2 linked regions of the Daphnia pulex genome follow. The protein of the gene in region 2 purifies or fractionates together with the protein of the main gene of each other region. This does not show direct contact. Links are inferred from orthologs where the notes say so. Each region holds a gene or a part of one and is shown on either strand. Other genes may lie near its edges.

Region 1 (3,754 bases), on a different chromosome or scaffold from region 2:
ACAACGTCTTGTTAAAAAGTTACAATTGCTGTGTTGAGTTGCCGTTCCACGTTCCATTATCATCGCTGCTGTCCCCCGGGCTAGCGTCGGATAAACGATGGATGTTACTATCAGGTCGCCGACGACGGACACTAAAAAAATTGCAGTGACAGAAGTTGGTTCAACATCTGATTGGTGAAAGAGTTTGTGATCAAAATAAATCAATAATACCCTTGACTATTTGGTTGAGGCTGAGCTGTTGAATCCTGATGAGTTACACGCGGCGGAGGGTTGGCAAAAAATCCCCAAATCCAGTTCCAAATCCCAAATAGAGGTGCGAAGATTGCACTAAGCCACGTATTGCCGGCGGATCCATTAGTCTGAGGCTTAAATCCTAATAAAAATTAATATTTGTACTTTAATGGAAAAAAATGTTCTGGAATGCACACACAAAATAGAAATAAAAATTAATGGCACTAATCATACCAGTTCCAGCAATGGGGATAATAAGAAGAGCAGCAGAAGGAGTCAGATCCAATTCCCGTAAAGTCTGTTGCATATCCGATTCATGGAACTCACGACGAGGGAATGTAGTACTAAGAGAATATGGTCTAGATCGATAAAGAGAAATATTAATGAACGTGCACTTAAAAAATTTAAGCATCAAGAAATGTACAACCTAAATGGTGGTTTAATTTGTTGATCAATGAATTCGTTGACAGATGATAACTTGACGTCAGAAGAAAATTGCTCTGTACGGGTTGAACCGTCAGGCAAACGAAACTGCAGCCGAGAAAACGCACTACGAGCAGCTGAGGCTCTCTCACGTTGAAGTTGTTCTTGAGCACTTTGAGCAGCACGTCGTCGCTCTTCTTCGCTTGTCTGAGCCGCTTGGTATCGCGCAGCCCGATCTATCCTGTCTTGGGCAATATTTTGTCGAATTTTCTCTAAAGCTTCTTTTTCTTCTCGTTTTTCCTTCTGGCGTGAATCTGCCAGTTCACGTTGTTCGCGCTCACGTTGTGCTTCTTTGAACTGCTGAAGCTGTTTACCTAATTCCCGACGCTCACGCTCCTTAATTTTCTCTTTTTCACGTTCTTCTTCTATCTTCTTCTCACGTACTCTGGAAAATAAAAATATTAATTAAGTGTCGAAAACTACGCCATCAAAATTAAATTATTAGTTGAAGTTATCCAATGATAAGTAATGACTATTCATGCACTTACGCAGCTAGTAACTGATCAGCTCTTTCCAAGCGAGCTTCCAATGACAAACCAGATGGACCATCCTCACTGTTGCCAGGATTTCCACTTTCAGTGGTTTCTTCTTCCTGAGATGGTTCTATATTCTCAGATGTTGTCTGTAATACTTCCGCTTCAGCAATCTGAATTATTGAAAAAATATTTGATGAAATAATAATAAGAAACATTTGAACATTTACTCAATTAAATACCTGTGAAGCTTGGGCAACATTTTGTTGTTCATCATGTACCTTTAAAGCTTTCTGAGCTCTACTCAACAGTGTGGGGATATCAACAAGCCCTCCAATTACTTCCAACGGTGATCCTTGTAGACCAATCATATAAATTGCTGGTAAGACAACAAGGGGATCTAAGGAAAATAATCAGGTTGCAATAATATTATCAAATAATTTATTTAAAAAAAAGTTTACTTACACAACTGACTAAACATGTTGGCTTCACCGCTACCACTTTTCAATGAAATAGAAACAAAACTATTGAAAACACTTGAAACATTTTCTTCTTCTAATCTTGTCAAAAGTTGTTGTGAATCCTCATCTTCTGCTGTAACAACAACAACAAATATACATTTTCTATTGCGGGAAGCAATTATAGCTTCCGGAATACTGCCTTGAAACCAATGCATGTTTTCTTTTTCTATGAATTTGTAAACTCTCGAATCTTGACCGACAATAAATCTGAATGATAATATTTCTGTACACTACAGCAGTGAGCAGACTACAGGTTTACTGTTTTGTGTGTTTTAACTTTTAAGGTAGGGGCCAGGGGGCGGAGCTCTAGGAGAAGACAAGCAATGATAGCAAATTGATTTCACTCCGCAATTGTGCAAAGTCAAACGTATGACCACTGACCATGTGGTAGACAAACAGACAAAGTATAAACAATTGAAAGATTATTCCTTGAAGCACTTTTAATCGTAAATCATAAATACACTAAAAAAAGTTTGAATAAAATTCGATAATAACATACCGATATTCGATATTTAATCCTCCCCCCTCCATTCATAAAAAAAAAATAAAATTGTGATTCTTTTATTTTCATTGAAATATTCAAATGTTATGTCAGAATTTCATATCTGCTGTTTTCAAGAGTTACAGTCCTACAACCGCACAACGTCATGTTATAAATTTTACGGTTGAATACTTCGTTAATAGATACGTGCGCATTTCGAGCTGCTTAATCTATCTAAATCTAATCTCGTTTTTTTTTCTCGGAAAGTAGGCCTACTTCTTACTACTATTCCAGCTTAAACCTAACCACCTTTCTCTTTTATTACTGAGAAAGATTAGGCTTAATGAGCAGCAGTTGGATTTTCGAGAAAAGCTTGCATAAAATTGCTCAGCTAGTTTTTTTGTTTCGGTCTCTTAATTTTAAACACACTAAATTTAGGGAAATAAATTTTGTAACCCAACCCAATCTGATCGAGTAACGAACTCCTTTTTAAAGAAACAAAAATGAGAAATCCCGTATGTCGTATAAAAATTAAAAAATATCAAAAGCACAGCAATAACACACATACAAGTTTACCGGTTGTAATTTTCCGTATTAGTATCAGTTATTTGTTTTAAACAAGATATAATGCTTCGTATTACAGAATCAGATTTACTCTATTAAAATACAGTTTACAAATTTATTTTCCTACCCCACAGAGGATATGTAAATTAAAGATTTAAAAGCTTGCATAACACCCAAGTGCAAGTTGGAATTAGAATAACACTGATGGCAAAGAGTTTATTACTATGCTGTGCTTGCTGATCTAATAAAGTTTTCATGTTTTGCTCTGCTGTACAAAAAAAGTTTTCTACATCCATAGTATTTACATTGTCCATGCTGACTACAGTATTGTTTGAGGCTTTGAATTGCTGGCTTAGTTCTATGAGGGATTTTTTTTGGCCCTCAGATTCATGCTGTATTGTTTGTAACAAGGAACTTTTTAACTCCTTCCATTTTCCTTCTAAAACATCTTGACTTGTTTGAGGTGCTTGCAAATGTTGCTGTACAGCAGAAGAAATATGTGTTGATAGTTCTTCTGGATTCATAAGTATGTGGTTGTGTTTAGTTGCATTTTCAACCAATTCTCTGAGCTCTTTCATTTTCAAATGATTGTTGATTGTGGATCCAAGAACACCAACAATTGTACCCATAACTGATCCAATAATTGACCAATATTTAGTTTTTTCAGCTTGTGCTCTTTCTTTTTCATGAGAATCTCTTACAGTATGTGACAAGATAGCAAAATTTTCTCGTTCTTCTTTTTCTAGCAACTGTAAGTCTTCTTTTAGAAATTTTTCTTCCTTGATCACAGAGTGTTCCTGGGTAATGAGAGCAAGATATTTATCATCCCCCCGTGGAACTCGATCTAGTTCAATATGAAGTTCATGTAATTTTAGTTGTACAAGACTTATTTTTCTTTGTAGATCTCGTCTGTCTTCCTGAGACTTGATAAATTTTTGTTCTGACTGAATACACATAAAAATACAGAGAATTAGACTGTGATTTAACAAATCTTAATTGGC
Region 2 (3,666 bases):
AAAAAGAAAATTAGTCAGAATTTCAATTTTAAAAGAAGTTACGTTACCTTAAAGTCCCGTTTTTTAGGCCCCACCAAGTGCAAGAGAAAGTAGTTGAGCATTGAGGCTACCCTGTCGACCATTGTTGAATGGACAAAGACTCCCTTGATTTCTGTCGTCATCATTTCAAGAATGCGGATCGTTTCGCGACCCATCAAATTGTGGAACCTGGCCAGCATCGTTATGTGCTGATAGGTGGCCTCCCTTTGATGGCGCTGGGGACCTGCTGGAACATTTGGCCACGAACCGTCTTCCCTCTGTTGTTGCTGCTCTTTCAGCTGGGCCATGTACGACAGTCCTTCGTCCAGCAAATAAATGGCGTCGTTGATGAGGAGATTGACAAACTGAAGGAACAAGGGCGGTTGGGCGGCTTCCATGTTGGCTTCCGCTTCCGCTGCCAGCACCCTGGCCAAAAATAAATTCATTATGTTAATTGAATTATTGAAAAGGAGGTGGAATTACTTGAACTGTCGTTGATGAAGTTTCAAACTCCAGAGGAATTTCATGGCCGCGTACATGGGCCTCCTATAGTTGAATTTCTGCTCGAAAGCCACTCCTTGGCCAGTCATTTCAATACTAGCGAAAACGTGAAGAAGAGTGCCGACAACATCGTTGGCACGGGGATGTTTCACGAAGAGAGCCGTCCTCGAACTGGGCGGAGCTGCATGGCCTCGATCCGGCGGCATCAAACCGTCCAACATTTCAGCCATTCCGGCTCTCATGTGCGGATTTTTAAGCCTGTTTGGCGATCCCATGAAAACTACAATCAAAGTCAGCAAATCGTCCAGTTGGCCTCGATCCAGCGTGCCGGGAGAGAAGCGGTTGACAAAGACAACAAAGTCCATGACGTTGGACAAACAAAATTCTGGAATGCAAGTCAACAATTCCGACGAGTGCTCCTTGTTTACGTCACAAGACGTCACGTTTGACGGATGGACACCCAACGCTGTACCACACAGCCACTTGGATGTGGCCATGATAAATTCGAACTGCATTTTCAACCATTCAGGTACTAACAAAACCGCCTGTAACAAAAATAAAGTCAGACCAACGACTATTTTAAATAAAGGTTCAATTTTTTCACCTTAAAACAAAGGTAGCTGGACATCATGACATCCATTCGTTCTTGGATTTGCTGGGCTACGGGAGTTTGGCCACTTTGTTCGGCGTCTTGGTAAGCTCTTTGAAGGCGATTGAAATTCTGGCTCATCTGCAGCATTTGACTGTGAACAGCTTTAGCGCCCAACTCCAGGGCCCGGTGGGTCATGTAAAACAGCTCAGTGGAAAATGAATAAGGAAGGCTTTTGGCTGCAGGTCGGTTCTCCTGCGTAATGAGGCACGTTTCCTTGTGCAGATCAGCAATGTGCACGCCATTGTCTTTGGTCTCTTTGGCGGTACAAAATGTCGCGTCAATTTTACTGAGACGATCGCAAGATTTCGGGTCGTCGGTAGAACAGAATGGCCGGCAGAGCTGAAGGAGCACAGCACCTAAATTGGTCATGAATCCGTCGGAAACGCAGTGGACCTGTGCTGTCATATCATGCTGGGCCCACATTTGCCCACGAGCCTTGTTTAACTCCAATACTTGCCCTAGAAAATCAACAAAAGAAAATTATTTCCACCTTTTTTAAGTTTTTTATTAAAAGGTTAAAATTACCCAGCCATTTTCGGGTGAGATTTTGAACTTCCGGTGAAGATTTAAACAAGTTATAGAATATTTTATAAACTTTGTCCATAATGCGCTCTGAGGCAGACCAAATGTTTCCTTCGGTGGTGGCGTGAACACCGGGCGGTGATCTTGAAGGTCGGTCGAAAAAGTCTGAAGGCGTTCCTGGGACGCGTGGAATGCAGGAGCACAAGAAGAGGGAACCCAGTAGAGTTTGCTCGCATTGCTTCCCAACTTTGCCTATGATATTTTCATTCAAAATTGAAATAGAAACCATGTCTTTCGCCAGCGTCGGTTGTTTGCTCAAGACCATCATGGCGTCCAATTCACTTTGATTTCCCATTAGCAGGTGCATGTTGGTCAGCTTGGTTTTTAAGCTGGCAAATAAAGGTAAAAACACCTCTGTAACACCGGCAGGATTTTCGGGTGCTAGAAGGTGTTGTACAAAACTGTCTAGAAATGTAGAGGTGTCTTCAGAGGAGAAGGCGAGCAGTTGAAGAAAATCTTCATGCAGATTTTGCTCAGGAAACAATTCTGGTTGAGAGAATGCCAAGTCCAGGTTGACAAAGATGGTTTTTCTTACATCATGAATCTCTGGCTCATCACCATGGGTAAGAGAGCGCTCATAACACTGGAATAGATAATTAACCAACGAATGCTGCAGTCCAACGGCATACTCGAGAACAGCTTGGTCCAGTGCTGTCTGATCGAAACATTCTTGATTTAAGGCTTTGGACAAGTCCTTCATATAGAATAATGTGGAATTTTTCATTTGCTGAGGTTTGAGTGTGAGCCTAAACACATTTTCAGCAAATTCATTGAACCTGCCATTCTCTTGCTTAGGAATATTGTGACAATCTTGTCTTGGTGCATCTGAAACCGACGTTACGTTAGGGTTTCCAACTTCTTTGCTGAATAATGCGAGGAAGGGATTGTTATCCGTCATTTTATACAGATTCTTGGTATTAGCGCCTGTTGCAATAACATTTGTTAAATTCCTTTCAAATACATAGGATTTTTCACAAGAAAATTTATACCGCAAATTTATCCAAGGTGTCTTAATATTTTTCAATTTGTGAAAATGATTAGCAATGCAAAAATATGTTTATTTTGTTTTCATTGATGTGATCAGCTGACTGACGTTTCCCAGATGTCTTCTGCTACGGTTTTCTCGAAATTTCTATTTTTTTCTTGCCAGTCACGAAAAAATGTAAAAACAAATAAGAAGGTTAATGAAAAAATTATTTTAAATAATAATTTTCTGTTTCAAATTTAGATAATAATCTTGGACATGAATAAAATGTATATTTTTCTTGAATTCTTTTTAAAAGCATGGGAAATCTGGTTGATTATTAGTCAACGTTGTTGAATCATACCATTCAGACGAAGCCATTGTCACCCGGTGTGAATCTGCACGTTGCTTCGACAGGGCAACTCCTTGATTCAACGTCTCTTTAATTATTTCCTTTAAATCAAGTCGCTGGAAACTTTAATTCTCAAAAATGGCGATGCACGTACCTAAACCACCCGGTTTCCAGCAAATGATGAAAGAGGGCTCGCGGGTAAGAACAATTTATACACTTTACCGATTCAACTGACGTTTCTCGTGACTGGTCGTCTTGGTGATGCCCGACGTGTGTCAAAAAATGAGTTTTTGAACTTTGCTTTATTAAGCGATGGAAGGAAACATTTATGTTAGAATGCCTGACTATGGGAACTAAGTAAAGCTGATGGAATTTTTTCCCAGACATCTTTTCGTTTATTTTCGTAATAATCTTAATTTGGTAATGAAAAACCCTGAATTCTTCCCCACAGATGTTTCAAGGTCTAGAAGAGGCTGTCATCAGGAACATCAGTGCTTGTAAGCAGCTAGCAGAAACTGTGCAGACAGCTTATGGTCCCATTGGCATGAACAAAATGGTTATCAATCACTTGGGAAAACTCTTTGTTACAAACGATGC

The links.
Region 1: the proteins of ubiquitin conjugation factor E4 A-like (region 2) and UBX domain-containing protein 4-like purify together in Homo sapiens (affinity purification with mass spectrometry; 3 studies listed by BioGRID and IntAct, counting the BioPlex papers as one, with this or other methods). This does not show direct contact. The link is inferred for Daphnia pulex from reciprocal best matches to the Homo sapiens genes UBE4A and UBXN4.

The regions. Positions count from the first base shown.
Region 1 is NC_060018.1:8,416,105-8,419,858, forward strand, and holds the start of UBX domain-containing protein 4-like, read right to left. Parts: upstream 2,226-3,754; 5' UTR 1,864-2,225; coding exon 1,653-1,863; intron 1,588-1,652; coding exon 1,430-1,587; intron 1,361-1,429; coding exon 1,203-1,360; intron 1,100-1,202; coding exon 659-1,099; intron 591-658; coding exon 466-590; intron 374-465; coding exon 211-373; intron 132-210; coding exon 20-131; 3' UTR 1-19. Other genes in the region: mitochondrial potassium channel-like, read right to left, coding at 2,900-3,697. UniProt on the Homo sapiens protein: Involved in endoplasmic reticulum-associated protein degradation (ERAD). Acts as a platform to recruit both UBQLN1 and VCP to the ER during ERAD.
Region 2 is NC_060021.1:167,977-171,642, forward strand, and holds the start of ubiquitin conjugation factor E4 A-like, read right to left. Parts: upstream 2,874-3,666; 5' UTR 2,743-2,873; intron 2,678-2,742; 5' UTR 2,652-2,677; coding exon 1,697-2,651; intron 1,630-1,696; coding exon 1,124-1,629; intron 1,065-1,123; coding exon 502-1,064; intron 445-501; coding exon 48-444; intron 1-47. Other genes in the region: T-complex protein 1 subunit theta-like, read left to right, coding at 3,208-3,267, 3,521-3,666.